Rhinolophus ferrumequinum: one gene and its partners. The protein of the gene in region 3 purifies or fractionates together with the protein of the main gene of each other region. This does not show direct contact. Links are inferred from orthologs where the notes say so. Each region holds a gene or a part of one and is shown on either strand. Other genes may lie near its edges. The genes, in order: DCAF7, UBC, CUL4A and DCAF12.

Region 1 (7,981 bases), on a different chromosome or scaffold from region 3:
TATTTTGTCCTCTGCTGGCAATCACTATCGAGGGCAAGCAGGAACCAAAGGTCTGAAAATTCCAACCAATAATTTTTAAATTCTTGCAAATTATGGAATCTGGCACCTCCATGTCAAGGTTTCCCCAAAATTGACCCTGAGAATTACTGCTGCCCACCAGCCCCTCGGCACAGATCCTTTACAGCAGGATTTCTTAACTTGGGGTCTATGAACTTGAATTAGAAAATTACATTCATATTTTCACTAACCACTAGCTGAAATTTAGCATTTCTTTCAATTACAAATGGAGATGGCTCCTCACAGCAGCATGAATACCTGTGACTTTGTCACAAATACAAATCACTGATTTTTTTCATATCACATTACAGTTGTTAAACATCTTGAAATGCTGTTTACCTTTATCACTACTTCAAAAATACAGTAATAATTACACCAGATGGTGTAACGAGTTACATATTATTCTATCATCACTTTTAAAAAAATGTTTTTAATAACTATAGTTCAACACAATTGGTTTCCTTCATAATCCTATGTATTTGATGCATTTGAAAACATAATTAAGAGTAAATGTCTACTGGCTTCAGATTGCTAAAGGTGTCCAGGGCATGATGAACACACGTTACAAACCCTGACCTACATACGTGGGGGCACAAAAGTAGTTTTAAGATGCTGATCACCTATGTCACACAAGTTAAAACACAGTTAACTGCTTAGCTGTTACCACTGGAATCATGAGTTTGCATTATATTACTAAGGCCACATTGCATGTAAGCCTGGCACAAAGGAGCTCTCATATGGTTGCTAAATGGAAGTACAAACTTTGGGGTAAAGTTCCTGCAACTGAGATTTGACACTATTTACTCCACTAATTTCACCAGCAGCCTAATTGTGGGTCAGTCTGTCCTCTCTTAGAAATGTAATTACTATTGCTTACCCAAACTAATCCTGGAAAAATGTGCAAGGAAAAAGAACATCTATTTGGGTGAAAAGACTCAAGCTCTTTAAAATACATAGTTTACATTTTTTTTTTTTTTAACATGTATCCTTAAACCAGGGGTGTCCAAACTTTTTTCAACGTTTTTCACCAAGGGCCATATACGGTAAAATACACAAACAGCCAGGCCTCTCACTCGAGGTGAAGTACGTATTGCCTCACCTGCTTTATTTAAGTAAACTAAATATATTTTTGGATTTTGCTGCGGGCCAATTAACAATGGATTGCAGACCGCAGTTGGCCCGAGGGCCGCAGTTTTGACACCCCTGCCTCAAACAATAGTTCTAGTGCTCTTAATTATACTAATGCGATTTCCACATCACAATCATGAATTCCATTCCCAGCTCTGCTGTCCACTATGGCCATCAGGAAGAAAGGCATCAGAAAAAAGAAAATAAAATTGTCTTGCCAGGACTCTCTGCTTTCTGTGGGTAATGGGTGGACTTCAAGATCAGGTAGGCCTCAGTGGATGCACTCCCTGGTATTTGTTTGTAAACTGTGTATGTGTAGTGTCGGGGGCAATGAGAGTCCTTTGCTTTCATCGGTTTCTCAAAGGGGCAAAGGGATTTCAAAGACCTAACACTAGAGAAACAGCTGTATTCCTGAAGAACTGTAAACAAAGTTACATTATTCAAATGTTTTTTACAGAACCCCTTTCCTAAAACAAACTAGGGGTCAGAACTGCTAGCTCTCTGTCCTGTCACTGTCCACAGTTTTATTCTTAAGTCATCGTGTTCACATAGTCAAGCAGGAGTACTGGCTTTAAACACACTAGCCAAGGCTTTCAATTGCTGTGATCCCTAACAATCACAACGTTTACTCTAATACAACAAAAGGAAGAGATTAAGAGGTAAAGCCCAGAAAATTCTTCCCGCTGACTTATTCAACAACTTTCAAAAACAAGTTTATGCTGTACTGCCAGCGTGCAAGCTTCGCCTTGCTACTGATGCTTCTATGAAGGCTTACTCAAATTGACAGATACTTACTACTCAGGATTACACATCCACATTAGCATGAAAAAGCCAAGAAAAGATGTGGCAAGTGTCATCCTTCTTAATTCAGTAAACAGTGGTGAAAGCAAGGCCATTGGCCAAGATTTTTTAAAAAGATCGCACTGAAGAGGAGGGTAATAAGGCAGCAATGGCAATCCTAGCAGAGGGGCTGGGTATCCTCAAGAATAGTACCTGGGGGTGGGAGAAGAGCGAGGGGAAGTCTGCGCAATAGACAGCCAAGAGAAATCGAGTGTAGCCAGGAGTGAATGGCCACCAACTGAGACGCCAGCATTTTCCTTCAGTAATCCCTCCCTCCTCCGCCCCCCACGTGAAGCAATGCGGCAGGAGAGAGGGAGATACAAGTGATAAATGGCGTAGTTTTTGGGTGTAAATTCAGGTTTGAGATCTGTTTCCGCCACGAAACAGATGTCTGACTCGGGCAAGTCACAACATTTTACCTCTGTTTCCTTATCGGTAAAATGGGAGTACGGGTTAACTACACTCCGACTATACAGGAATGCTGCTACGATTAAATGAAACGAATATGAAACCCTCTGCTCAGGACGAGACTTAGAGGAACAACTCCATGGTGCTAAAGGCAAGTCCGCAGAAGGGTCCTGAGGTCGGGGGTCCGGCCCGGAAAGGGCGCTCCAGGGGACCGCTCGCCCCGCCCCCTACCTGCTGAGTTTCGAGGCCCTGCCCGACCAACCTTGTTGTTGTACTCCTCCACGAAGCTGCCCAGGGCCAGACGAAAGCGCTTGTCGGGCCGCACGCTCCAGTTCATGGCGTAGACGGTCCAGGGCGCTTCATACTTGTAAATCTCCTTCCGTTTGCCGTGAAGGGACATGGTAGCGGCGGCCGGGCCGCAGTGCGGGCCGGGTCGGCAGCGGGCTGCGGCAAGCGGTGCGTGAGTCGGGTGGGGGAGTCGGGCCTGGGACCCAGGGGTCCGAAGGGAGGCGGGGCGGGGGCGGGCAGGGACTGCCTAGCCCGGAAGCAGGGCCGCAGCGACAGACAACGACAGCCGAGCCCGACCCCCAGTTTCAAAACTGCTAAGGCTCGGGCGATAACCACCTTCCGTTTGAGATGCTGCCCCGCCCTCTCGGGACGGAAGTCACGCGTCCCCCGCAGCGGCGCCGGCTGTTGGCTGCTTGATACGTCCTTTAGAACGGTTCCTTACTCTCATTGGCTATTGTACCCGGTAGCTTTTGAAACCTCCTCGCTATTGGTGTAAATGTTTGTCATTCCAATTACTTGCACCGCCCAATTCCAAGGGGCAGGCGCTTTCTCAGCCCCAAAGGTCATTGGCTGACAAAAATGTCAGTCAAAGAGATAACGGCGCAGTGCGGGTGAATGGGGGCGTGGGTGGCATAGAGGCGGAGTAGTAGGCCTCCCAAGTTCTAGGCCAAATCTCTGACAGTGGTAAACCTCTTGTGTAACCTCCTTTGACTTCCACTCTGCAGCTGTTGTTCCGAGCGGCTTCTACATGCTGTCGAGTAAAAATTAAAATTCTGCCTTATTCAAGGGCCTGTTGCATTTCGCGGCACTAAGCCCCTCGGCCTGGCACTCTGGCCCACCAGCCAAATGGGAACCACCTTTCCTCCTCACTCTTACCAACGCTCCCTTTAAGCCGAGAGACTTGTTCTCCAGTACCCCAAGGGCAGGCCGAGGACAAGCCTTTTGCACACTAACCCGCCCATGTAATCAGGACCAGGCCAGCTTCAGTCAGGCCTTCCCGCGCTTTCCTGTCCATTCTAGAAATGCTGGGAATTCTAGGGTTGGCCCTTCAGTAGGCAGCGACCGACCAGCTTGGTAATAAGTTCTTTTTGTTTTGTTTTCTTTCTGTTCCCATTCCATCCTTTCCCCGCTTCGGATCCCAAGGCAAATGCTAATCAAGCGCTAAATTTATCTGTGTTGTGAGTTTGAATGGAGAATGTCTGAATCTTTACAATTTAAATGGCTTCCAATTCTTTGCTTTAAACAGAATTAAAGGAGGATTGTATTGACATTAGATGATATCATCAACTACAGTTTTTAATGATAAATGTAGTTGTTAGATAACTCAGTATTCAAAGAATTGAGTGGCACTGCTATGCAAACAAACTCCTTACAGTCCCATCTACTTATGTGAACAAGTTTACTCTGTGTTTAAGTTTTTTAAAAAGGATAGAAAAGTAGGTACAAAAGTATTGCTGAAGCTTGTCTTATTCTAATAAAAAATTATATTCATCCACACATATGAACTAATTGAGAGTAAAATACCTTCTTTTAAGAGATGCATTTCCAATAAAATTTTAGTTTTTATAAAAATTTGATATATTTGTGTTGTTTTGAAAAACTCTGAACTAATAAGTATAACCCTGAAAGCCTTTGTAAGATTACAAAAAATTAAATTTTTCATTTTATATATTTTCAATTTATGTGTTCGTGTTGCAAAGAGATATGATAAGATTATCAATAATAGACTTTAAAGCATGAAAATAAATTAGGTGTAGCATAAATTGGAAGGAATAGAATGGAATTTTGAAAAGAGTAAAAAGAATGATGTTAAAGAAGAGTTTGTTGTAGTGTTTTTAAAATTAATGATGTTGGTTCTCAAATCACTATGCTATTTGGATCAAAATGAATCAATATAAATGAAACAGTTTATAAAGTATCAATATTTACAACACACTGGAAATTACATCCTTTACAGCTATTTAAACTTATTACTGAAATACTTCAGATGTCAATTTAAAAATATGTGCGGGGGCAAATACATTTTCAAAATTATTCAGGAAATATTGGAGCAAAAGGAACTGAATACCAGTGACTGGGTACTTTTTGCAACAGCCTATTTCAGTGGAGTAGTTAACTGCATGTATTCTCATGCCAGACCATTTGGGTTGAAGTTACATCCTCCTTCTCCTGTGTTGTTGGGCAAAATTCTGTTTTTTAAATTGAAGTATAAGTGTACATATTTTCACAACCTGAAACGCACTTATGTAACCAGCATCTAGATCAGGAAACCGAACAGTATCAGCTCCCCCCCAGAGGTCCCCTTTATGCTTGTGTAAGTTTCTTAGTCTCTCTCTGCTTCTGATCCCACTTCTCTATAATGGGGAGAATAACATTGACCCCATAGGATTGTTGTGAGGATTAGATGAACTAATATCTGCAGAGCAGGTAGCACAGTGCCTGGCACAGGGTGTTATGAAAGTGGTGGCTATTGTCATGATTCCCTATGCTAACCAAGCCAGTACCTCTCTGCTTCCCTTCACTCCAGCTTGGCTAAAAGCCCCGTGATCCAGGTGCTCCTGGGTCCAGCAGAGCCACCTTTAGGTGCCTAACACACACCTCCGGTGAGAAGGGCTTGGAGAAGACAACAAGATGTTGGGGTCATGGCATAGTCAAGGACGTGATAACCCGCAGGTAAGTTACACACCCAGCCCAACGTGAAATGTGCAGACTTTATTAGCTGTGATACACTCCACTGTCTGCTAGAGTCCCAAAGGTCATCACAGAACCGTCAGAGGCAAAGCAGCTGAGGGCTGGAGCTATGTGCCCCGATATGTCCACTACAGAGGACACTTTCATTTCCAGCCAGGTCACAGGCTCTCAGCAGGAAGTCTGATCAACCTTGGATGCTGAGCCAAGAGGCGGTGGGTAGTTCTGATCCAGGACATGATTGCACCCAGCCTAGAGCAAAGTTCTCACACAGAAGATCAGAAACTTCTCCTTTCCTCACTGAACCCTCTGTCCAGTAAGCTTCCTCCATGCCCGAGGCTCACCCACCCTCCACCAGGCCTGCTATCTACACAAAGCCCTGGAAGAGTCTGGGAAAATCCTAAGCCTTCTTACCCTGCCATCTTGGATCACCTGGGTTAGACGTTTGTAGCTACTCTAGGAGAATGGTTTTCAGAGGACGATTTTGGCGGCTGTCTACCTCCCCCAAATATGTAACTCTTACCTCTCCCACCTTTAATCCCCTCATGGTGTGTTTTATCTTGGGGTTCAGTGGCTCTAACTCCCCACAAATCCAGGATCTGAGCCATGTCTCTGGAATTCCAGCTGCCTGGGGACAGAGCCGAGGTGATCAGGGAGGGAGGGGAAGCGGGGACCACAGATGAGTCCCTGTACCTCCAGGGCACGCAGAGGTGAGGCCAGGGGTGACAGGAGCCCCTCAGGCTGCTCCAGTTCCGAGGAAAGTGTCAGAGTTTTGTCTGGTGCCATGACCAGGTGAGGCATCCTGGGGGAGGAGTTCCTGCGCTTCGGCCCATGTTTGTCCAAGTCACCATAGCTTGTGGTCTGAGGGGCAAGAAAGAGTGAGGGATGCAGTGTGGGGAGCCCCCACCCCAGGCCACCCTGACTTCAGGGCTGGGAATTGGTAGGAACTATGTGTTCTTACCGTTGCCCCAGCTATGGGGTCTCAGTCATAAACTGGGCTTTGCCACTAATTGTCCAGGCTGCCCTGTCATGACTTGGACCATAAAGGACAGCAGAAGCCATGGCTGCTCTCAGGCCACAAGGCCCTGGGCCTGATGCCACACTGAGACCAAGTTGGGGGTGGGGGAAGGCATGCAGCTGCCTCTAGGCAAGCCCCTGGGGATCCCCTCACCTGCTCACCTGTGCAGGGGGCAGATCGCCCTGGGGCAGCCTAGTTCCTGGACTCTGAGTCTCTGAGGCCGCAGGAAACAATGCCAGGTCATTGGAGGCAGGGGCTCCCAGAATGTAGCCAGTGCAGCCCTGGGGCAGGGGCTGCTGAAGGAGCTGCAGGATGCGGCTGAGTTCTGAGGACATGCGGGACTCCAGCCTACCCGACAGAACCCCACAGTCAGGGGCAGATCAGGGTTAGTTAAGGTCAGGGTCAGGGTTGGTAAGAGCAGTCTAGGTCCGGAAGACAGCTCTCCATTTTGTAGCCTACATGCTGTTCCTGCTGGATGGAATGGAAGCCTGGGGCCTACCTGAAGCTATTTCCCTGCTACCATCCGCAGCCCCTCCCCAAATTCCCCTTAGCACCAAATTCCCCTCTGTCAATAAAGGTGACCAAGCACCATGCACACATCATTTAGGCCTCATAAAGAACCTTTGACATGGGTATTCTGATTATCCCCATTTCACAAAAGGGCAAACAGAGGCTCAGAGTGATTAAGTGATTTGCCCACACTCTTGCTTGTAAGTTGCAGAGCCAGAATTTGAACTCAGGACTCTTCTGCCCCTAACCTCTCACTCTGCCACCACAGCCCTGCCATCCACAGGCCACATCCCCGTTCCAAGGGCCCATGGAATTTGTTTCTGCACGAGGTTATGCCCCTGCCCTAAGAAAGTTTCCTTGGCATGTTCTGGGGTTTGCTGGGACAAGCCATCCAAGGAATTGTGCTCAGTGACATAGGGATGGGGAAGCCTGCTATTAAATGCTGTCAGCCATTCTGAAATTCATAGGACATCCAGTAATGTCCCCAAGTCACCAGGAGGGGGCACCTGTGCCTAGCCTGCCGTTGGGCCTGCTCTCTGCAGCCCAGAACTCTGTCCTGCAGGGCACTCACCTGTTCACCTGGGCCTGGAGCTGCTCTAGCCTGGAGCCTAGCTCCTGAGGCCAGCAGTCTGGGTCTCCCTGAGGGTCTGTGGGGCTGTGCCTTGGTCTTGGGGGCACTTGCTGCAGCAACTCAGGCCAGAGCCCAGATGCCTCTGAGAGGCTCAGGGAAGGGGCTGCACCTGCAAGAGGGAAAGGAAAGCCTGAGCTTGTTCTAGCTGGTTCCACAGCCCTGATCCCATGCCCCTCCTGCTTTGGGAACACATAGCAGGTGAAGTGGATCTCCTTACCTGGGTGCCCTGGAGTATGAGGTCCTGCCCCCATAGAGGTCTGGCTTCCAGGACCCAGAAAGCTGAAGCCCTGGCAGGGGAACCCGGGCCCCAGCTTTGGAGGGGCCTGGCTGGGTGGGGATGCCTAGCCCTGGCCTCACTGTCCAGGGAACTGCAGCCCAGCGGGACCCGTGGTGTCTTGATGTGGAAGCCCAGG
Region 2 (7,606 bases), on a different chromosome or scaffold from region 3:
CCCCCCCCATTCAGAGATTCGTTAGGACTCACTGGACTCACACGCCAAGATTTATTACAGCAACATAGGCGACAGCTGCCCCTGGGGAGGAGACACCCACGCCTTGCGCCCCACTCCACAGGAGCCTGGGCCCCCCTCACTGTAGGGTGGGTGTACCGCACCCCCAAAGGGGGGGCGCTGGGAGGAGGCCCTGCAGTCACCGCCTCCTGCTCTCAGCCACTTCACCCTCCAGCTCCACAAGGGACTAATGTAGTCCACAGAGCACATTGAAAAGGGGACTCGCACGTGAGATAAACTGTTACCCACCACGTAATAAATAGTTATAAAAAGTCACCGCCAGGGCAGATTGCCCACGGCGGCAGGCAGCAAGCTGTGTCAGAACCGGGCCAAGATGAAAGAGGGTTTCCAGAGGCTGCCTCCTGGGTGAAGTCCAGGGGCCAAGGGGTATCATGTCAGAAACTGGCTGCTCACATGTGGTGCTTGGCCGGCAGGCCAGGCACCAGGTCAGACGTCAGAGGTCAGAGGTTGGGGGCCAGGCTTTCTCCACATCGGCGTGCATGGCCTCGGGGAGCCACTCGCAGTACTCAGCCAGTAGGTCTGCAGGGGCAGAAGACAGCGTCAGAATGGCTCTGTGCCCAGCTGCCCTGCCAACCCTGGGTTGCCTGGGCAGACCCCGTCCCATCCGCTCCCAAGCCCTGGTTAAGGGGCACCTGCCCGTCAAACTCACATTTGGGGCTTTTCCTCCAAGCAGCCAGCAAGGCGTCTCGGCAGTCGGCCTTCTCGGCCACAAGGGCCCTCAGGAGACTCTCTGTCCTGGGCTGCAGCCTGTGGGAAGGGATGGAGGGCATTATGCCACCCACAGGGCTGCCCGCTGTGGGAGGGGGCAGGCAGCCCTGCCTTGGTGGGTAAAGGATCCCTGTTCCTCCACCATGCTGGGTGCCGTGGCTCGATGGAAGGCTCTAGACGTCACCACCTCCTACCTGCCTCTGGTCCGCCCGCCCTGGCCTTTCTTCTACTCCTTGAGCACTCCCCCACCCATGCTGCTCGTCCCATCTAGAACCTTCCTCCAGATTTCCACCTGGCTCACAGCGGCCTCCTCCGAATCTGCCCAGTCAGGCTCTCCTGACCAACCCCCCCAGGCCCCACACCTCATCGCTAACGTCCTGCTCTGTAGCCGCGTCACCACCCGCCATGTGTACTAGCTGTGTTGTTTGGTGTCAGTCTCCCTGCACCGGACGTCCCCACAGGGACAGGGTCCTGCCTGTATCCCAGCAGAGAGGGTGATCAAAACCAGCTGCTGGGTGAACAGTTGGCTGGCAGCAGCCTGGCAGGGGGCGCCTGGCCCCACACCCTCCTCCTGAGTCCCTGGAGTGAGGGAGTGAGAGGGTGGACTTGCACCCATCTGCTTCCAAGACCCCTCCCGTGCACCTTCCAGACGCCAGCCTCAGGGAGGGGGAGGCGTCCACTTGGAGCTGGCCAAGGTGGAAAGAGAACAAAAAGGGAGGAGCAGGGACAGGCAGGGCAGAGGAGGATGGTGGTGATGGGCGGGACTGGGTGGGCCTGTGCGCAGCTGGCAGGAAGCCCCTAGGGACGCAAGCATGTAGAACACCTCCTCCTGGCACCTGGCAGCTGTGTAGTGGGTTGACCAATGTCTCCCCAAAAGTCCACATCCACCCAGAACCTCAGAATGTGACCTTATTTGAAAAGAGGGGCTTTGGAGATGCAATTCAGATGAAGTCATACTGAAGTGGGGTCGGCCCTGAACCCATGATGTGCTTACAAGAGAGGACATGAGGGGACAGCCATGTAAAGACAGTGGCAGGGATCAAAGTGATGTGGCCACAAGCCAAGGAATGTCTGCAGCCACCAGGAGCTGGGGGAGGAGGGAAGGAGCCTCCCCTAGAGCCCCCAACCCTGCTGACACCTGGATTTTAGACTTCTGGCCTCCAGAACTGAGAATACATTTGTTGTTCTAAGCCAGTCAGTTGGTGGTGACTGGTTATGGTGGTCCAGGACACCAATCCCAGCTCCTGCCGCCACCCCCCGCCACCCTGGTGCTGCCGGGAAAGGCTGTACCTGGCCCACGTCTTCAGCATCGTGCTGGGGCTGGACAGCAAACAGCCCTGGTATGAGGCCAGCTTGGGGAAGACCTGAGGAGAGCGCACAGGGCAGGGTGAGGGGTCACCTGGCTCACCTCCCGCCCACAGCACCCAGGACGGGGCGGGGAATCACCGGGCTCCCTACCTGCCCTTCCAGCAGAAAGCGGGCAAAGTGCTTGTAGCAGTCGAGGCCCTCCGGGAAATCCACCTGGACCGCGGGCAGTGGCCAGCCGACGCGATCTGGACGGCAGCAGCCAGTAAGCGAGGGACCGTGAGGGACCCCCACATCCTCCCCAGAACCAGCCGGAGCCGGGGGCCTGTGGTGACACCACCTGAGACACACACACACACACACACACACTTCCCAGTGTAGGGTGTGGGACCGTGTCCACGGGAGCCCAAGGCCACCAGGAAGCTGCCCCAACTCACAGAACACGCTGGCCCGGTGACACAACACCCGCCCCTTCTCGGGGCAGTAGGCAGGGGGCGGCTCCTCCAGGGGCTTTTCGAACTGGCAGTAAGCAGGCAGCAGGGCTGGGATCCACTGGGCCTCCACGGTGCAGACACCTGGGGGCCCAGGAGAGAGGGCTGAGGATGACAGTGACCAAGCTGTCTGGGAGGGGCTGTGTCCTCCCCACCAAGGGCCCTGGCGTCACAGCTCCCCAGAGCCCGTGAGCAGGGCGAGGGGCCGGCCACCGGCTTTGCTACCTTTCATGTACAGCTTGGTGGTCTCCACAATTTCCTGGTAGACCACAAAGTCGGGCAGCTCTTTGAAAAGGACGGAACTGGGGTGGATGTAGACAGGGTCATCGAGGAGGGGGGTCTGCAAAGAGAGGGTGAGTGGTGTGTGTCGCAGACACAAGCACAGGTGCAGGAACCCATGTGAATTCAGCTGCACGTGCGGCTGGGAAAGCGGAAGAGCATTCTGCCAGGTGACGAGCGGCGTGTCCGTACCGGGGACCAGTATTCAGCTGAGCGAAGACGCCGACACAGGTACTGACACGTGCCTCACTCACCACCATGCTGACTGAGAGAAGCAGGACAAAAAAAGGCCACAGTGTATGCTTCCACTGACACGAAATATATGGAATCAGCAAAGCCGTAGAGACAAAAAGGCAATTCACGGAGTGGGGGGTGGGGGGTTAGGAGAAAATGGAGAGACTGATAATGGGGACGGGGTTTCTTTTTGGGGCGATGAAAATATTCCAGAATTGATCGTGGTGATGGTTATACAACTCTGTGAATATGCTAAAAACCACTGAATTGTACACTTTAAAATGGTGAATTGTCCACTTTGTGATTCCTCTCTCCATTAAGCAGTTATGAAAATAGACTTGGGGTGAAGCTAATCCCCAAAGGAAGTGTGACTCCTGTACACCCCATCCTGTTCCTTGGTGGGGACTTTCCCAGAGGCTGCAGTGACAGGACCGAGGACAGGTCCCCGCAAGGGTCCCCTGGCTGCTCTAGGTGTCCCGACAATGCCCAGAGGCAGGCATCACAAGTGCCCAGGCTGGCAGGACTCGAGACAGATGGAGGGTGGGGTGGAGAGGGGAGCCCGGGCATAACGCCTGCCACGCTGCCTGCTCCCGAGCTGGAATCTGACCTTATACGCATTCTTCCACTTGTCGTCCAGCAGGTCCTCGCTCTGGACCCTGCGGGCCAGGTGGTCGCCCAGGCCGGCCGTCACGATCTGCCGCAGGTAGGTCACCTGGCTCTCGGAAGGAGGTTGCATCTTGGGGTCCACAAAGAGCCCAGCCTCAGGGCACACAGAATTGACTGGGGGAAAAGCCAGGTGTGAGGACAGCAGTGGACAATGGTGGGACCTGCGGTCTCGGGCTGACCTTCTGGGAAGCCCCGACACCACTCAATGCTGAGCTCTGGCCTCAGCACCTGTTCCTCTCAGCCCATTTCCACCGAGGCTGCTGGGTGGGCGGGAGACAAAGCCCTCAGCGGGGCAGAACCAGCTGCCCACGCCATAGCCACGCCCTCTTCTTCCTTAGGACAAAACCCCAATATTCCTCTGTGGGTGGCAGAGTGAGCTGCCAAGAAGCCACCCCCTCAGATGCCAGGGTGGCGCCGGGACTCGGTCCTGCCCCTGATATGACGATGGAGTTGCCGGCTGGAATTTTTGGAACGCTCCTCTGGCCCCTTCCTCCTGCCTGGAAAGCAGGTGTGATTAGATCTCCCAGTGTCTTCTCGGTCCCTGAGGTGGCCTCGAGGATGGAAGCCACGTGCAAGGCTGGCAAGACAGCAGCCCAGAAATGTGTGGGCCTCTGGAGACCCCGTGAAGCCAGGGTCAGACCCTACGTGGGATCAGGGAACCCAAGGGTGAAACTGGGGATGCCCAGGGGCAGCTGGTCCAGATCAGAGCCAGGGACAGAGGGTGACGCGAGGGACCGCACTGGAAAGGATGAGGCCGAGGTGTGCGCGCCTGCTCACTGGCGGGTCCTCAAAGGACCGCAGAGGCGCCAAGTACTGACTTAGGGTTACGATCAGTCTCAGCGAGGTGAATGTGTACACGTGGGACCTGTGATAACTGGGGAATGACTGTGCACAGATAACGTCGATGAGAAGAGCTTTAAACATTAGTCCCGTTTGTGCTGGGGGCCGCCTGTGGCAGGAGTCCTGGGGAGCCCCAGAGGCGGGTGTGTGGGCCGTACCTGCGGTGGTCAGCTGGCCCCGCAGGCGTCGAATCTCCATCATAGCCTTGTACCGCAGGCCGCTGACCTCGCAGAACTGAGGCGAGCAGCCCGCGTACTCGCAGGCCCCCACGGCACCTGTGGACGAGGACGCACTCACTGACTGTCCCCCAGGTCCCACGGGCCCGCCCCCCTTGGCTGGGGCACACACCCAGCAGCACCATGAGGTCTCCGAGTTTCAGGGAAGCGCCTCGTCCTGCCCAGGTCCTCTTCATCAGGGCCACCCGGGCACGTCTGCCCTTCAGCGTGGCCCGCTCCTCGTCGCTGGACGCTGGTCTGCAAACACATACACCACCTGACTGTCGTCCTGGCTGAGGGCCACAGGGGCAGGAGGCGCACAGGTTCAGGGACAGAGACCATCCATGCCCGGTGGGGTCGCTAACATGATCAAGGTCTTCAGCTCTGGCTCAAAATTTACCCTAAAATTCACCTCCGGTAGCCAACAAGATAAAAAATGTGAATGCCTCCTACCCACGATTTCACATTTAGAGATCAATGTAAAGACACAATCCTACAAATGAGTAACATTGCACAATGCCGTGCAGCTTACAAATAGTAATAAAAAAAAAAAAACCCTGAAAAATGCTGAAATATACACCAAGTATGGACTGGATAAACGAATTTTCCCCTGGTTCCCAAACCTGAAAGTAATGACACTCAGGCAGGTGTCAGGTATACTTTGAAGTCCCTTATGTTAACTAACGTAACCCTAACAACAACTCAGTTATTAATAACATCTCATCCCCATTTCCCAGATGGGGAAGATGAGGCACAGAGAGGTGAAGTCACCTTCCCAAGGCCACACAGCTGGGGAGTAGCAGAGGGAGATTTGAACCCAGGCAGTCTGGCCCAGAGCCTGGGCTCTTAGCCATCATGCTACAGAGCCTTGTATCAGCTTTGCGCGAGGAATTTCCTTAGAACACGTTCTGTAGCGACCAGAACACTGGAGCTCTGGAGAATGAGGGTCTTGCACAAGACCACCCAGTGATCCAGTTATTCCCTCAGAGGCCGGGCTCCAGGCCCTCTCTCAGCCCAGCGCACCCCGTCAGCCTGAGCATGAGGCCGGAACGCACAGCCCCCCGCCCCCACCTGTCCAGTTCCACGAACAGCTCCCGCACGGTCATGGCGGCCACAATGGTGATGGCGTAGGGCAGGCAGCCGTGTTGTCTGCTCAGTGCCAGCATCTTGGCATAGCGGGGCGCCACGGGGAACGTGGCCATGGTCCTGCCCAGCGCGGTGATGGGGCAGCTCAGCCGGGACCTCTGCAGCTGCTTCATCCTGGAGGACAGAGGAGGCTTTAGCGCCAGAGCTAAGAGGCCCCGGTGCTCAGGGCAGCTCAGGAGAGGGGAGAGGGCCAAGAACGGGGCGGGAACTGGGCTCCCCCCACCAGCCCCTGCCCTACCTTTCTGTTTTCTGGGGCACCTGCAGGGCACCCAGCGAGATCAACAGCTCCTCGGCAGCAATGAGGGCCTCCACAGAGGGAGGAGTTGGAAAGGGGAAGTTGATGACCTGGGACACAGGAAAATGCGCAGGTGACAGAACTGAAGGCACAGAAGTGGGCACGGTCACTGCAAGGGGGAGCCGGGCCAGGCCTGGCCACTCAGAAAGGGCCCCGGGCAGCCTCCAAGTCCAGGGGCCAAGGGAACCCCGAAGGCCTGTTTCCTTCATGTGGTCACATCAGCCACTCGCTCCGAAGCAGGTCTGAGCCCCTAATGTGCGCGGGGGCTGTTCTTGGCAAAGGAGATTGAGAAAAGCAAGACCAGGGCTCTGCCTCCACTGAGCTTTCATTCAACCAGAAGGGGCCGTAGACGGGAGCAAACACATAAGGAAGAGTAAACGTGCCCCGACAATAAAAGGTGACAGGACAGGGAGTGGGGCTCAGGGGTGGTGGCACCTTAGAAAGAGGGACCAATCAAAAACGAGTGTTCTAATCAATCCTTGTGCACTCATGTTCACAGCTGCCAAAACGTGGAAACAACCCAGTGTCCAGCAGTGGGCGAACGGATACACAGAATCCGGTTCATGCGTACAGCACACTGGATGTGATCTGGCCATAGAAGGAATGAAGCACCCACACGAGCTACAGCGTGGATGACCCGTACAACATCACGCTGAGTGGCAGAAGCCAGACACAAAAGGACGAATTCCGTATGACTCCATTTCTATGGAATGTCCGAAATGGACAAATCCGGAGACAGAAAGCAGACGAGCGGCTGCCCGGGGCTGGGTTTCCACTGGGTACGGGGTTTCTCCGACTGCACCACCCCTGCTGGAGCAGGGAAGAGACGGACAACCCCTGGACAGGGGGACATGAGGACGTCCCTCCCCTGCCCCCCAGGAGACTGACCGGGCAGAATATTCTGTGAGCCTGAGGCCACCGACAGCCCTCCACACAGTGGGTGGGCCCTCTGGCTGCACAGCTTCTGTCCCTGGCAGCCAATCCGCAGGTGCTCAAGGGGCACAGCACAAGGGGAGTGGGGGTCACAGGAGGCGGGGAGCCCAGGTGGCTGGACAAGCACCACCAGGCTGAGTCCCCGGGCTCTCTGGGCTGTGGGGAGGGGGAGCTGCCCCATGGGGGCCTGGAGCCGCCCTCGCTGACCACCCCGGACATGGGTGCGCTGAGAGGTCAGTGAGGTGATGGTAAGGCTGGGGGCTTCGGCTGACCTTTTCAATGTTGAGAGCTTTCATCTGAAGGATCAAGTCTTCCACGGGCCTCCGGGTGATCTCAGGAGGGGGAAAGTGCTCAAAGTCACTGAAAACGGCAGATGAATAGAGCCTAAGGAAGGACCAACAGTACAAAAACAGAAA
Region 3 (8,037 bases):
CAACAGAATTGCCGGTTTGATTCCCACATGGGCTAGAACAACGACTTGGAGCTGATGGGCCCTGGAAAAACACACTGTTCCCCAATATTCTCCCCCCCCCCAAAAAATGTCAAGTATAAAAAGATTGCAAAATCCATTTAAATGAGACCCTAGAAATGGCAAAATATACCGACAGAAAGCAAATCAGATTGCCAATAATTGGGAGTCAGTGGAGAAGACTAAATGGAAAGATGCCTCAGGAAACTTTTTGGAGTGGTGGAAATATTAATAGTTTATATCTTGATTGTGGTGGTGGTCATAAAATTGTATATATTTGTTAAAACTTATTGAAATACATAGTATATGTAAAATTATACCTTAATAAAGTTGAAAAAATGTAATACACAAACTTAAGGCAAAGAGGGCACATATATCCATCAAACTGTCAACAGTAGTCTTCTTTGGATGGTGGGAAAATAAATGGTTTTTATTTTCTTCTTTGTACTCTTTTTGTAGTTTTCATAATTTTTACAATGTACTCACTTATGTAAACAGAAAAAAATTTTAAATTCATATTTCTTAACAGGATATCATATTGCTACCCAAAATGTGGGTAATAATAGATTAGTTAACAAATGTTATTCTTTAAAAACAAAGTATCAGAAAAACCAGTCCGCTTGTAAATGGAATATCCAAATAGTAAAATGTACTTTTGACCATTTTTTATGTTAGAAATAGAACATCATTACTTTAAATTAAATATATCAAAATTTGTTTTGCATTTTAATTGCAACAAGTAATCAGAAAACACAATTAAGTGGGAAAAAACAGCTCTATTAACAAGTGAAACCATAATAAGAGTTTTATATATAACATAATGGAATTATAACATTAATTTGCTGCGTATTTGGAAAATATTAAGTCATGTGGCTCTTAGAAACACACCTCTCTCCTGTAATGGGATAACTTTAGATATCTTTCTAGGAGCTTAAGCCTGAAACAAAACAAAAATCCCCAAACCACCAAAAAATGAGAACACTCATCGACTCTGGACATGTTGTCATAGGACTCCTGTCCTTGTTGGAGGCAAACACTTGGATTTCTAGTATTTCCTTCATTATTGACTCTGAAACAATACTGAGGACCACATAATCCACATCTGTATCACATTTCACTAGAGTTGGATAATCGTGTGATTTAGACAACTATAAAAACAACCAGGTAAGTGAGACACAGGATGCTGGCCTCATCACGTCCTGAAGATGTCCTTGTCTAAGAAAATTCAGGATTTATATCTCAATGAGGATTCTAACAAGCTCTACTTTTTCCCATACATGGCGCCTTACCTGGTAGAGTTCTTCCAGGTTGTATTTGATGGAAGTACTACTTTGTATGGCTTTCACTGCCTCATGAAGTTTCTGCCAGGTGTCCTGAGTGTAGTTATCAGGCAATTTAGGTCTGTCTGTAAATCCAGATAGAGTCAGTGAGGAATGACATCTATGCTAAGTCATAATCTTTCAAAAAACAGTCTATGAAAATGTACTTTAAAAGACACAAGTAAGGAACACAAATTAGGTTTTTTCAATACAAAGTATCGTATTTATAAATTTGTTAGGTTACAGACTATGCAACCGTAACATCTGTTTGCCTAAATACACTTCATATTGATACTTAGGATAAAAACACACAGGAAATATACAAATCTTAGTTTCCTTTCACATAAGTTGACTTTACAAACGTATACATGGAATACTTAAGTTCTATACAACATTTAAAGTCGAGTTAAATTGTTCAACGTTGGGAGGAAGGTGAAGAATAAGCTTATAATTGCTATCTCTACATCAAAGGTGCTTCTTATTTTGATAGCATCAGTGATACAACTGATGAAAAGTGGAGGAAGTAATAAAAATTACATCACGAAGAGCGTCAGTAGCTGCTACTTATTCTTGCTCTGCCATGCCAATCAAGATACTTGAATTATTTGGCCTATTTTATTCCAATTGGACCAACTATACAGATTAAGGAGAAAGCTGCTACCAGTAAACTCAACCCGCTGCCCTCACCGCAGCTTAAGCCGACATTCGGAAAGGCCCGCGCCCTCATCGGGGGAGCCCGGGGACCCCCACCCTACTCTGAGAGTCTAAAACCGGGACCAATGACCGCCAACTGGGAAGGAGACTTCCGAACAGTCGAGGGTCCAGCGGACCACAACCCCCGCAACCCCCACCGCCACTGGTGCTTTGAGGCCGCTCCGCCCAGCACCTCCAGCCCTCGCGTTGCTTCTCCCCAGGCCGACCCCCAGCTCTGTCCCGGGCCGCCCCCCCAACTCCATCCTCGGCCCCCAGGCTCCTCCCTGTAGCTGTCCTCTCCTCCTCGGCCCACTAGGTCTCCCGTCCCTAGGCCGCTCCCTGTACCCACCTCGGAAATTCTTGATCACTAGTTTCTTGGAGCCGCCGCTGCCCCCTGGCTTGGAGGTGACGGCGGCCGCGGCGAGGGACGCGGGCTTGGTGAGGCCGTTGGTGTGCCCGACGAGCGCCGAGAAGTTGCCCTTCCTGGGGGTCTCGTCGGCCATGGCTGCGGCCGGGAAGCAGCGGGCGCCCCGCCCCGTCCGGCCGCCTCCTCCGCCTCCTCCCCGACCCGCGCGGCCGGGCACCCGGGCCTCTGCTCTCCTTTCCCCTCAGCAACTCCAGGCTCCGTCAGCGCCGCTCAGTCCTGGCCCAAACGCCGCTTTGGCCTGGCCCAACCGCCGTCCGGTCTTCCCCCGGCCCCAGCTCCAACGCGACCGTGGGCCCGACCCGGCCCACGACCCCGAAGCTCGCGAGCGCGGCCAGTCCGCGTCAGCCGCGGTCCGTGTGAAACTTGCAACAGTCGAGGGGACGGCGGAGCGCAAGCCCTGACAGCTCCCGGGGGCCCGGCGTGTCCCGGAGCACTGTAGGGGCGCGCACGAGGCGTCCTCGCCGAGGGGAGGCGGGGGAATCCCAGCACAGAGACCCCAGCCTTCCTCAGCCCGGGCGCGCTGCCATGCCGGGTCGGAGATCACGCTCCCGCAAATACTCCCTGCGGAACCGAAATTCGGGGAAAGTGGGGTTGGAGGCGCGGGGCCGAGAACGGACCACGGACCGGAAGTGACGGGCCGGCCCGGAGCTCAAGCTCCGCCCGGTCCTGGGGGTGGGTACCGTCATGGCGCACATCACTATAAACCAGTATCTGCAGCAGGTAACGTTCGTTGGGTCCAATCGCGCTCGGTCTGCGGAGTCTTCTCCTTCCCTTGGCCTGCTGGACTTTGGGGTCCAGTTGGGCGGCCGGCGCGTGCGTGGCCGGGGTCGAGGTAGCCTGAGTCCTTGTTAGCCAGACGGGACGACTGAGGCAGGCACACCACTGTGTTTCTTAGGGACCCCGGGAGTACGCCGGTGGTCGCTGCCCTCAGTTTAGGGACGTGAATATATGTGTGTGTGGTGGGGGGGAGCTTAGTCCTAGCAGATGCTGAAGGGACCGTTAACCACTCGAAGAAGTAAGGGGTTCAGCCCTTGTGTAGTCATCAAAAGCCTGACCTAAGGGCCTGACTTGGAGTTTTGTTTCGCACAGACACTGGTGGAAGTAGGAGTTGGAGATAGCAAGTAATGCTGGCTGCTAGCCTCTACTCATAGCTACCACAGTAGACCTAGCCTTAAATAAAAGCTCTTAGGATAGGTCTACTGTGGCCTTATCTTTGCAGAGTTAACATTAAGTTGAGCAAGGACATAGACATTGGAGAACCAATATGACTATAGAATCTCTCTAGAATTTTATGTTTTTGTTAACCTTTTACAGTTTTCTTGCCCACTCCTAGTTCCATTTCTTTTTTTCCCTTTTTTCATTCAGGGTGCTTGAATGGTGTCGTACTCATGTGGACGCTGAATGTAATTTGTCGACTAGATAAGTGGAGGCATATAGAAGGGTGTGAAGCTCGCCCCTAGGCTGGGTGGTAAAGCTGAGTGATTTGCCAGTGTTCAGACCTACTCATTCTAGCGAGGAGTAAAGATAGTATTCGTGCTGGTCTGTCTGACTCTTTCATATTCCCATTTCACCAAACTACCTCTTGGTCTTGTTCTCTGCATTCTCAGAGGAGCACAATGAGAATCTCCTTCAATTGTCTATCTTATTTGATGAAACCATTTGGGGTGATGATGAGAAGAAGAATGATAGTGCTTGTTGAATAGTTACTAAGAACCAGTTCTTTAAGATAGTTGGTCACCATCTCTGCCCCCCCCCCCCGCCACACACACACACACACACACACACACACACCAGTGATGAGAACTTTGGCATCCTTTATCAGCTTCCTTGAGGCAGGGGCACTGATGGGACCAATATTTTATGATTACTCAGAATACATCAACAAGTAACCCTGCACAAATTTATTCCATATTGTAAAGTGAATCCTTAAAAGCTGGATTGCTGGCTCAAAATGTAAGTGCTTACATAGTTTTGTTGAATAGTCAAGTGGCAAAATCTTCATTAGATAGGGTAGTGTAGACTTTCCCAGCTGATTCCCTGAGTGGTACAACAGATGAGGAATTGGTTCCTTTTGGTGTCCTGGTGATTTATGCCCCATCTCTTCTGGCTGCAGGTGCCTGGGCATAGGATTACTGGATCGGGGAGTAGGTGTATGCTCTCACTAGTAGGTACACCAGTGTCTCAGAGTGGCTGCCACTTCACCCCTTCCCTAGCAATGCATGAGAGTTTCAGTCACTTTATATTCTTGGAGTGCTTAGTATGGTCAACCTTTTTAATTTTAACTCTTCTGGTAGATGTGTAGAGATATCATGTTGCATTTCACTTGTGGGTAAGATGTGAGCACCTTCTCGTTTGTGTACCATTTGGATATTTTCTTTACGATGTCCCTGGTCAGAGTCTTGCGTGGATATAAAGTTTATATATGTAATTTTATTGTAGATAAATTACACTATATATGAAACTTTATGCTTGGCTTTCTCCTCACATTGTTGGAATTTTTATGTCATCTTTGATACACATAATTTAAAAATAACATTTGGTTTTCTAATACAAATGTCTTCTATAATACAGTCTTCCAGTATAGAAATATATAAGATAAAAGCCTTCTCAGCCCTCACCCCAAGGGGTCAGCTGGTGTGGCGTGGGGTCCTGCACTTCTTTCTGTGCTTGCGTGTCATACATACTTTGTCTTTTTCTCCCAGATCAAGTTACGCAGTTTTCCTGTGACTCTTTTTTTTTTAATAGAACTTTATTGGGGAACAGTGTGTACTTCCAGGACTTTTTCCAAGTCAAGTTGTTGTCCTTTCAATCTTAGTTTTGGAGGGCGCAGCTTAGCTCCAGGTCCATTTGCCGTTGCTAGTTGCAGGGGGCGCAGCCCACCATCCCTTGCGGGAGTCGAACCAGCAACCTTGTGGTTGAGAGCCCACTGGCCCATGTGGGAATCAAACTGGCAGCCTTCAGCATTAGGAGCACGGAGCTCCAACCGCTTGAGTCACCGTGCTGGCCCCTCCTGTGACTCTTTTTTTTCTTTTTTCTGTTTTCTTTCTTTTTTTAAAGCATATTGCGGACACATTCCTATGTTATTACATGTAGATTTATTTGATTCTTTTTCACAGCGTACTGTGACACCATTTATTTAGCCATTGCCATCCAATTTTTCTTTTATATTTAGATTGAATAGAACCGCCTTTTGAATTTTGGAAATATGTGGTTTATAAGCGCTTTCTTTTCCCTTAAGCTGTGTAAGTGAATTTTCAAATGTTTGCTTGTGTGACCCAGTAAAACTAGAATAAATCACCTTCATTAATAACCAGATAATAAACTGGCTTATTCTGCCCTCTCATTGTTTTTCACAGTAAGTCACCTGTTTATTTGCCTCCAGACGATCTCATTTTGAAATATAGTTATTGTTTGCTGGCTAAAGACAATATTGACTATAATATTTTGATTATGCTGACCCTTTCAAAGTAGGGAAAATGAATTTTGGTGTTATACAATGTGTTGTTTAGGTTCTATTAGAATAGAGTGTTTTATTTTCTACTTAGCTTTTCTTTTCTCCAATGCTGCAGGTCTATGAAGCAATCGACACCAGAGATGGGGCATCCTGTGCGGAGCTGGTATCTTTCAAGCATCCTCATGTTGCCAACCCACGGCTTCAGGTATGTAAAAAGAGTACACACACAAAGGGCTACAGGCTATCTGGCTTCCTAAGAGAAGTTTAGAGTTTGAGCTTCTACATTGCTGATTATATTTGGCAGTGTATAGGCTATACCTCAAACTGTGTAAACCAGTTTCGGGAGTAGAAGCAGGCATTTATGTATTTATGTGTTTATTTATTTTTAAATTTAAAGTCTCCTAGGTTGTTCTAATATACAGAACATATTGAAAACCATTGCTCCAAATAGAAATTAGTTCCAGAGACTTGATGAGACTCAGGTTCAGCTTGCTGGCCAGACACTCCATAGTTGGTGCTATGTGTTTCGTATTGATTACATCAGGGGCATGCACATCTGTTTGCCCATTTGTACTCTTAAGACTGAGTTCTTCAGTATAAAATTCCCTGTGAACCTTCCATCTGATGGTTCCACTCACTGGTGGCCATTGTCTGAATCAATTATTTCATTAGAGACTGTAGAATGATGATTTTTCTGAATTTGATATTTTTCCCCTCCCACATTTATATGTGTATTATATCAGTATCAGAGTGGACTCATTGATTCCCTTTTTTTTCTTTTAATTCAGTGTGCTAAATATAACCCATTGGGATGCTCATATTATCTAAAATTTGGCCATTGAGAAGAAAGGCAGAGTTAGAAATAAATGTCAGCTAGTCTAGCCCAGGGCACAGAGAGGGTGGTTCTATCACCAGGCACCTGAGGAGTGATTCCTAACATGGCATCTTTAATTCATTAGACCTTATTTATGTAAGGTATTATATGCCTTATTTATTAAGCACATAGTAGCTACTTACTAAATATTTCTTAACTAACTGGCTGTTAAACTTTAAGATATGTATGAAAGTGCCTTACACTATTTCCTAGCCTGTGGTAGATAAAACATTGTATTCATCTAGTGCCCTATACCTAGTTCATGCTTGATGAATATTTGCTGAAGTAATGAACCTTTTGTTTAGAAGTGCTAAAGTGTAAAGTGTTACTGTTAACTGTAAAGTGTAACTTCTTTTGAAACACAGGTTTGTTTAAATATCTTTCTACACATTGCATTCTTTCCATGATTGTTAATTTTATTTTTGCCATTTTCCTTCATATTTAATTTAGTTGGCTTCTCCAGAAGAGAAGTGTCAACAAGTTTTGGAACCCCCTTATGATGAAATGTTTGCAGCTCATTTAAGGTGAGGAAGTAAAACAAGCAAATTTTGAAATTGCTGAATCGACTAAGGATTTTATTTAACATCATCTAATGCTTGAAGCAGTGAATGATTTACTTTGAAAAAGTAGAAAAGTGTGTTTATAATTTTACTTTGGTAAAGCCTGTGAAAAATGTGATATTTAAAAAACTTTAAAATGTTAATAAACATGTTTTTCATTTCAAGGATCACACTTGTTTTTAAAAGTTAAAATTGTATTGTGATCGTGTCTTCATATGTCTATTGTGTGATACCATAAAAAAAAAATCTCTTGATAACCATCATATTGGCTGTACGGTGGCCTTTCATTTAGCAGGATGTAGAGCCCACCATTGACTTGGATTTTTCAAGGAAACATGCCCACCTCATTGCCTGATTGGGACAGAAACTAGAGCTGAGCAAAGCAAATGAAATACCGCTTTTTATTTCTATTTCATTTCTACTATATTTATCTCTAAACCATCAATTCAAGCAAAGCTTTATATCCTTAAAGTGTGTGGTTGATTGCTTTCTTGCCTGCAATACCTCTAGTGTTTCAGAGCAGGCTAGCATGCAGGGGGCAAGGTGGGGTAGCCCTGTGACATCTTTGGAAAAGTTGGAATGCCAATGTGTTCTTTGTAGCGTGAAGCTGTTATTTTCTAGCTCTGTGCAGTGTGCCATGGGATTCCAGATTTGGTAATGAGCTAATACTGACT
Region 4 (7,630 bases), on a different chromosome or scaffold from region 3:
TCATTTGCTAAATGTCACAAAGTTCAGATAAGAGCAGTGTTCCCAGCTTTGCTTCTGGAAGCTAAGCAGAGAAAAACACTAACTATAAAAAGAAAAGAGGCCCCCACTTAGGGTCAGGAGGACATAGAAGACAGAGAGAGGTACGTATTAGCAGTAGGTTAAATTATTATTTAACATTATTCTCACCTTCAAAACAGTCAATAATAAATGCAAAGAGGAGACTAGGATGATTACTTCAGGTTACAATTTCACAACATTTGCCGGGCAAAACACTACAATGGTATGTTTGGGGAGTGGAATGAATTCCTCCAAATAAGGGACTCTCTACTCCAAGTGACAATGACGACAGTTCTCTTAAACCACAAATGGCGGCCTGAGAGACTAGGAAAATGAAGTTTTGTAGAGGATTGCCGCCACCATTTAGTTTTGAAAGGCTTCTGTATGACAAGCAACCTTCAACAGAAGAGGAAACGAAAGCTTGGCCCCAATCACCATGGTATTATTTCCTTCCTTAAAACTCATCTTTAAATCTTTGCCCATGTCCTTTATAACAAACGCTTCTGCTAGTACTTAAAGACTTTCTTGATCCACAGAACCTTCCCTCTTCCAATTGATCCAAGATGTGTTTCTGTCCAGGGTAAATTTACCCAGGCATTATGACATTACACGTCTATTCACACAGGTGAGAGGAAAATGGAGAGAGCAGCTGGGCCTACATTTGATCTTTTCACACGCTTCATTCAGAATCATTTTCTATCTCCAGACCCTGCCTCTTTTCACTTGCCATTCCTCTGACGTCATGCTATTTGTGCCCTTATGTTCCAATTATATCCACCATATCTAATTATGGATTGACTTATTTTATCCATGCCTGAAATTGTGCTGGCTATGTAACTTACTGATAAATTTTTCCCTTCATTTACTTATAAGTGTCTTCTAAGTCATTCTATGTCAAAACAACTTTTCTCTCTTCTAAATCCTTTTCAAGGAGACTGCTTTGCAAAGAACAAACATGTACATCCTGAAATACTCGTGTATACCACCAGACACACATTCCCTGCCCATTCTCCTAAGAAATACATCTTTTGATTGTATTCCCTAAAAGTGAATGTTTGCCAAGTGCTATCTTAAGTACTTCTACATGTGGCCTTAGGCTGGCAGGTAACACCTAAGTTTTCACTATCATGTATCCTGAATGATGCCCTGAGCACCATTGTTTCCTAAGTCTTTCCTCTGAGGCCTCTAACTTAAAAAGAAACATAAAAAGATGAGGCCAAAAGAATCTAGAAGCAGTGGCATTTCCATATGGCAAGACCTAAAGACCTAAAGAAATAAGACTCCTCTGAAAATGCATCAGAAAATAAATGTAGAAGTGGGAAAAGAAGCAGAAAAAGAGAGGAAGAAGTCATCAACAGAAGGGAATGGAAAGGAGAGTAAGGCAACCTCCTCACAAGAGAAACTGATGGGGAAAACGAGCAGTGAGAGGTTCTAGAACATGTGGAGCCACATACCCGGGACCCAGGAGAAAGTTCACATCTCTCCCAGACACTTACCGTGTTGCATTTTGTGCCACACACCACTTGCCTATGATTCAGCCACTGAGATGCAAACACTTTATTAAGGGTCCCAAGGTGAAACTCTCTCTCCTTCAGGAGACTGGGAAGTTGCTGTGCTGCATAACCATGTAACACTCGAGAGTAGCTGGTTTCATTCTGTAGCCTGACTTCCCGGTTCTTCAGGTAGTACACTAAAGATCTCTTCACTGGGGGGAGTCTTTTCCTTTTGTGAAGGGAGTGATCCCAGCCAAACTGTGGAAAGCAACATTAGAAATCAAGGCTTTGACTACCCTTGTTCAGAACAAGGAATCCTACTGTATTAGAGATATCACGAAGAACTCATCCTGCAGGATTTATATACAAAAGAAATACAAACAGATTAGAAGAGGAATCTCAACCCAGATAGTCCAGTTTAACTCTTCCAACAGTGAAAAGATGTTGCTCATAGTCAAACCTACCTATGAGAAACGGATTAAAGACCGGGGAATGGAAGCAGAGGACAAAGGTTTACTAGGCCTTTTAGGAGTGAAAGATTCAGATTCCCTAAAGTTATCTGATAGGGAAGGGAAAGTGGCGCCAAATGATTACCATACCGACCTGGGGTCCATCTCTACCCAGCCCCCTTCTCCCTCTCAGCCTGTACTTCCTGCGGAGCATGGAGAACGCAGCCCAAGGAGCCAGATTGGGGTCCCACGTCTTCCAAGATGAACGATCAATGGCCGCCCCCCTGTCACCAGCCCCGCGCTCCAGGCAGTTGTAGAATTCGAAAAATCAAACACCAACGGGGTGGGAGGCACCGGAAATCAGAGTCCAAATACGCGTCCTACAAGGTCTTCCTCTCCAAAGAGGGAGTATAGGGATGATACCTGGGAATTGCTGTTTTCTTCTAGGGGTCCAAGTACTAGCTCACTTGAGTATTCTTAGGGAGATTCTTTCCTAATCATCCCCGCTTCTCGGGGGGCCCCAGTAAGGCGGACTTTTAATCTCCCTCCCCGTATCTTCTAGGAGGTTTGTTCCCGATTCCCTTCGACTTAGGTTTCCCTTCCTCCAAAGCCCAGATTCTGGTTTCTCCTCCAGCCCCATTCCAGGCTGCAGGCCTCCCGCGGAATATGCCCCATTTTCAAGTTCCTCTTTAGCTCTTCCACCCTCCGGCCTATCTGCTCTTCAGTGAAATCCTGAGGGCCCAATCCTGACCCAGTAAGCCGGGACTCCGCTCTTGCCCCACCCCCACCTCCAACTACAGACCTTGGGTCCCGGTTCCGGTTGCCTGATCTGCAAACTCTATACCCCTCTCGTTGCCTTGGTCTTATCACCCGAGTCCCAGCCTCTCAGCCCTCACCTGCGGGCCTTGAGCGTCACTCCCAATTCCCGGCGAGGTTGGCGCTTTCCGCTTCCTGCTAACTGCTTTCCGGGCCATAGTGGGCAGCGCCGCCACAGCCCCGCAGCCACATGGGGCGGGGGAAGCGAGGGGTAGCAGGACGGCGGGTCATATACTGGGCCCCGGGGCCGCGCACCTTAATGTGCCCGGCCCGGAAAATGGCCCGGACCCGGGGCGGCAGAAGAAAAAGGGGAGGAAGGCAGAAGGGAAGGAGGGAGGGAGGACCGGGGCTGGGAAAGGGAAAAGGAAGGGGAAGGGAAGGCAAGAATGAAAAGCGTCCCGACGATCGAGTGGGGAAAGGACGGCAAGCGGCTAGAACCAAAACACCCCCTCCCCTTCACCCGCGCTCCGTCACTCTGGCGCAGCCGCATTTCTCAGTGCGTCGCCACGGAGACGCTGCCAGGACTAAAGGGGCGGAGTTTAGAGCTTGGAGGACAGTTCGCGGCTGTTGCTTAGCGGCTTTCGGCGGGTTTCCAACGGTCGTCTGGCGGCCGCTGGAGGTGAGTGACCTGGGGCCAAAGGAATCTGGGTTCTAGCCGCCGACCTCGGACCCCCGCCCGCTCATCCTGAGGCACCCAGATGTGAGGACGACTAACCCCGCTTGGAGAAGGAATCCCTCTCAGCGTACCCTTTACCCGGTAGCCGCCACTGGTTATCTCCCGTCGAGCGCCGCACGTTTCCCTGAACCTATCACACACCGCGCCCTGACGCCAAGGGCTGGGTACTATGGGAAGAGGCAGAACCTTCTCCCTCCATTCCCTGGAGTCCGCACAGAATTCACGCCTGCCGGGCCCGACTTACCCGGTACGGAGAACCTGCCCAGCCGCGCACCACCAGCCTGGGCCACACCCATCTCCCGCTCCCTCCAGCCCCGCGCCCGGCCTCAGGTCGCTGTCTCCCCACACCTGAGGAGCCCTGAGGCTCTGTTTGCCACTCAGCCTCCTCCCTCGCCTGAGCCTGTCTTTTGCCCTAACCGCAACAGCCCCTCAGTCACCCTTTCCTTAGCTACTGCAACCTCGCCTCCCTTTCGATTCGCATCACCTGCCGGACACATTGTCTTCGGTGCTTTATAAAATAGGCCTCACCCCGTAATTTATGTTTCTTACATCTCCCATGCAGTCCTGAGCCGGGACTGGAACAGGAAACTGCCACTGCTTGCCTTCCCCGGGGGCCACGGTTGTGTCTTCATGACGGCAGATGGGGTAAAATTCTGAACCACAGAGAAGAGAGGGACCATTGGCTTCTCAGTACAGTTAGGCCTGGCATTGGTCACCAGACACGGGGGCTTCTTCAGGATGCCCTTGCCTTTATTGTCAGAAGATCCCGTAGGAATTTGAGTTCCAGCCTCTACTTTCCTCGGGCAAAAAAACACCCAAAAAAACCCTGTGAGGAAGCAGCATGCTCTTGCTTGTTGTGGCTGACCAGCCTCAGGCTCAGTGCCTGGTTACCTGCTGGTCCCTTTAGGCTTCAGGCCTCAGACCTCCAGGGAGCTTTGTTGGCCCATCTGAAGTTCTTCCTCCAAGGAGATTTGGATTTGTTTTCCAAGTTGAATCAGAGACCAGTGACCAGGTTGAGACAGGATCCTCTGCTATCACAAATCAGCACTTCCACTAACCCCTAATCCCACCTTGGGAAAGGCAGCCCCATCTTAACTTGGTCAGGACTATCCCTTCAGACATATGCACACAGTGAATGGGTTAGAAGTGGGTCAGCCTCCCTTTTTTGAGCCTGTTGTTCCAGTTCTGTCTTGCCTCACAATGCCCTAGATGACCCACGAGACCATTGGGCAAGAGTCTGAAATTCCTTTGAGAATCTCTAGGCTCATGCCACACTGTGCTTGGATTCTGGTCTCTGCCCATGTCAGAGGCTGCAGACACCTCCCTGAGGTTGGTGCGCTTCATCTTGACATCCCAGGAACTATCTCTGAAAGCACCTCACAGCAGAGCTCACTTTTAAACTTCCAAATGAATCTTCATTCTATTTTATTTCTAAAGTTTAAAAATTCATAATTGCTTTTAAAAGACATAATACCAAGTATTTATTAGGAGGTAGAATGACTGGAACTCTCATACATTGCTAGTGGGCATGTAAATTGGTACAAACAATTTGGAAAAATCTATGGCAGTACCTACTAAAACGTATACCTTATGATCTAGAAGTCCCAAGCCAAAAAATGAAACAAAAGTCCTACTTCTGGTTATAAACCCAATATAAATTAGTGTTTATATCCACCAAAAGTTACTTATAATAATATTTATAGCAGCTTTATTCATAATAGCCCTGAATTGGAAATAGTTCAAATGCAACTAATAGTAGAAAAGATAAATTGGGATTCCCATGACCTCCTCATCAGGTTCAATACTTTGCTATAATGGCTCATAGAACTCAAGTAAATAATCAACTTACTGTCACCGGTTTATTATAAAGGATATAAAGGATACAAATGAACAGCCAGATCGAGATAAATAGGGTGAGTCCGGAGTGCTGAGCCACAGGAGTTTCTGTCCCTGTGGAGTTTGAGGTGCACCACCCTCATGGCACATGAATACATTCACCAATTCAGAAGCTCTCCAAACCCTATAGTGTAGGGTTTATATGGAGGTTCCATTACATAGGCATGACTGATTAAATCATTAGCCATTGGTAATTAGCTCAATCCCTAGTTCCTCTCCCCTTCTCAGACGTTGTGGGGTGAAGCTGAAAGTTCCAACCCTCAGATCACGTAGTTGGTTCCTCTGGCAACCAGCCCCCATTCTGAAGCTATTTAGGGGTCCGTCTTGAGTCACCCAATTAAGATAAATGCAGGTATGGTTGAAAGGGACAAAAGATGCTCCTCTCACTAAGATCACTCAGGAAATTACAAGAGTTTTAGGCACTCGTGCCAGGAACCAGGGAGAAAGACCAAAAATATTTATTTTGTATTATATCACACTCTCACAGTAATAGAAGTCAGAATAGTCATTCTTGGTGGTTACTAACTGGGAGAACCTAGGGAGGCTTCTGGTGTACTAGAAATTTCTATATCTTGATCTTGGTGGTGATTTATACTAGTGTACACATATGTAAAATTTTATCAAGCTGTACATTTAAGATTTGTGCAGTTTTATAAATATACCTCAGTTCAATCATGTGCCACTTAATAATGGATATGTTCTGAGAAATGCATCGTTAGGTGATTTCGTAGTTTTGCAAATGTCATAGAGTGCACTTTATACAAACGTCCAGGTATAGCCCACTACACACCTAGGCTATATGGTATAGCCTGTTGCTCCTAGGTTACAAACCTATACAGCATGTTACTGTATTGAATACTGTAGGCAATTTTAACTCAATGGTATTTGTGTATCTAAACATATCTAACCATAGAAAAGGTACAGTAAAAATATGGTATAAAAGATAAGAGGTATACCTCTATAGGGCACTGTCCCTCTCACTAACTTGAGAGCTACTTAAAGGCAAGGATTCATCTCCAAATCCCTCGTGCCTGGGAAGGCACCTAGCATATTTTATGCACTCCCTAAATGTTGAATGATTGAACAAAGAGTAAGTCAAATGTATGTTCTACAAAGTCCTATAGGTATGTTCACAGTAAGGGTAACAATACGTATGGGGAAGAGACTGTTATGAAAATAATGCTGCAATAACTCATTTCCCTAATCTTGGGTAAATTACTTAAAACAACTGTTTTTCTAATGAACAAAACAAAACAAAATACATACTCAAAATAGAAACTTGGAAAACAAGGAAAGAAAGACACAAAAAGCAAAAATCACCCATATTTCTACCTTCTAGAAAATAACCACTGTTTACATTTTACATCTTGATGAGTGATCTTCCAGGTCTTTTTTGTATGTAATTGTGTCTGTGTCTATATATCCACATATAGTTTTTTTTAAACTATACTATTTTATCACATTAAATAAAAAACCCCACAATTCCCATTTTCTTCACCCCCTACCTCTCCAAGTCAGTTCTTGGAACGATTCCATCACAATTCATTGTACTGCAGAAGGCCCATGAATGGGCAGGAGACCCTAGGACCTGCTCACCTCTTGCCTTTTCTTTGGCTTGGTCTTGCCAGAAAAAATAAATAGCAAAAAATACTATAAAATACTTGGGACAAATTGAATTGTATTATACATGTTTAGTAACTTGTTTATTTGCATAGATTCCTCAGAGCAAACAAAGCACATGTTGCCATAATTCCCTGTATGCCTCTACCCTTAATCTGTTGGAGCTAATTAATTGTACTTGCTAGCAAAGGGCTCGGGAGGAAAGCATTTCTGTTAGGAACAAGGATTGAAGAATTTTAATCATATAAACCATTACAAAAAAACATAGGAAGAAAAGAGACCTGGAGGACATAAGAGCATGAACTGGCACAGATGGCAAGCCCTCAATAACTGCTCTCTTATGATGCAAAAATGTTAGTTCTCAGAGGCATTTGAATGGTAATTTCACCCGCTATGGAAATATTTTTCAGATCCTGGGGCATAGATTATTAAGGGTAGAAAATACTATAAAGACAGTTCATCTCATTAAACTCATACTTTTACAGAAAACTGAAGCCAAAAAATGTCAAGTCACAGTCGGCAGATGACTGAGAACTCTGGTCTCATTATTTTCAACTCTGCCACATGAAATATCTAGGTTCACGTGAAGTTGAAAGTGATATTTATCATTTTCCTAGTACTCT

The links.
Region 1: the proteins of CUL4A (region 3) and DCAF7 purify together in Homo sapiens (affinity purification with western blotting; 4 studies listed by BioGRID and IntAct, with this or other methods). This does not show direct contact. The link is inferred for Rhinolophus ferrumequinum from reciprocal best matches to the Homo sapiens genes CUL4A and DCAF7.
Region 2: the proteins of CUL4A (region 3) and UBC purify together in Homo sapiens (affinity purification with mass spectrometry, with the first as the bait; 3 studies listed by BioGRID). This does not show direct contact. The link is inferred for Rhinolophus ferrumequinum from reciprocal best matches to the Homo sapiens genes CUL4A and UBC.
Region 4: the proteins of CUL4A (region 3) and DCAF12 purify together in Homo sapiens (affinity purification with mass spectrometry; 4 studies listed by BioGRID and IntAct, with this or other methods). This does not show direct contact. The link is inferred for Rhinolophus ferrumequinum from reciprocal best matches to the Homo sapiens genes CUL4A and DCAF12.

What each region holds. Positions count from the first base shown.
Region 1 is NC_046304.1:42,212,544-42,220,524, reverse strand, and holds the start of DCAF7 (DDB1- and CUL4-associated factor 7), read right to left. Parts: upstream 3,052-7,981; 5' UTR 2,834-3,051; coding exon 2,696-2,833; intron 1-2,695. UniProt on the Homo sapiens protein: Involved in craniofacial development. Acts upstream of the EDN1 pathway and is required for formation of the upper jaw equivalent, the palatoquadrate. The activity required for EDN1 pathway function differs between the first and second arches.
Region 2 is NC_046308.1:3,431,632-3,439,237, reverse strand, and holds the start of UBC (polyubiquitin-C), read right to left. Parts: upstream 3,042-7,606; 5' UTR 3,037-3,041; intron 2,923-3,036; coding exon of another isoform or gene 2,808-2,922; intron 2,667-2,807; coding exon of another isoform or gene 2,529-2,666; intron 2,340-2,528; coding exon of another isoform or gene 2,245-2,339; intron 2,151-2,244; coding exon of another isoform or gene 2,077-2,150; intron 826-2,076; coding exon of another isoform or gene 728-825; intron 598-727; coding exon of another isoform or gene 512-597; exon of another isoform or gene 16-511; intron 1-15. Other genes in the region: probable ATP-dependent RNA helicase DHX37, read right to left, coding at 512-597, 728-825, 2,077-2,150, 2,245-2,339, 2,529-2,666, 2,808-2,922, 3,703-3,875, 4,760-4,876 and 4 more.
Region 3 is NC_046287.1:55,720,044-55,728,080, reverse strand, and holds the start of CUL4A (cullin-4A), read right to left. Parts: upstream 3,031-8,037; 5' UTR 2,552-3,030; coding exon 2,398-2,551; intron 1,442-2,397; coding exon 1,326-1,441; intron 1-1,325. UniProt on the Homo sapiens protein: Core component of multiple cullin-RING-based E3 ubiquitin-protein ligase complexes which mediate the ubiquitination of target proteins. As a scaffold protein may contribute to catalysis through positioning of the substrate and the ubiquitin-conjugating enzyme.
Region 4 is NC_046295.1:50,760,164-50,767,793, forward strand, and holds the start of DCAF12 (DDB1- and CUL4-associated factor 12), read right to left. Parts: upstream 3,006-7,630; 5' UTR 2,974-3,005; coding exon 2,896-2,973; intron 2,271-2,895; exon of another isoform or gene 2,214-2,270; coding exon of another isoform or gene 2,154-2,213; intron 1,809-2,153; coding exon 1,554-1,808; intron 1-1,553. Other genes in the region: 39S ribosomal protein L32, mitochondrial-like, read left to right, coding at 3,006-3,434. UniProt on the Homo sapiens protein: Substrate-recognition component of a DCX (DDB1-CUL4-X-box) E3 ubiquitin-protein ligase complex of the DesCEND (destruction via C-end degrons) pathway, which recognizes a C-degron located at the extreme C terminus of target proteins, leading to their ubiquitination and degradation.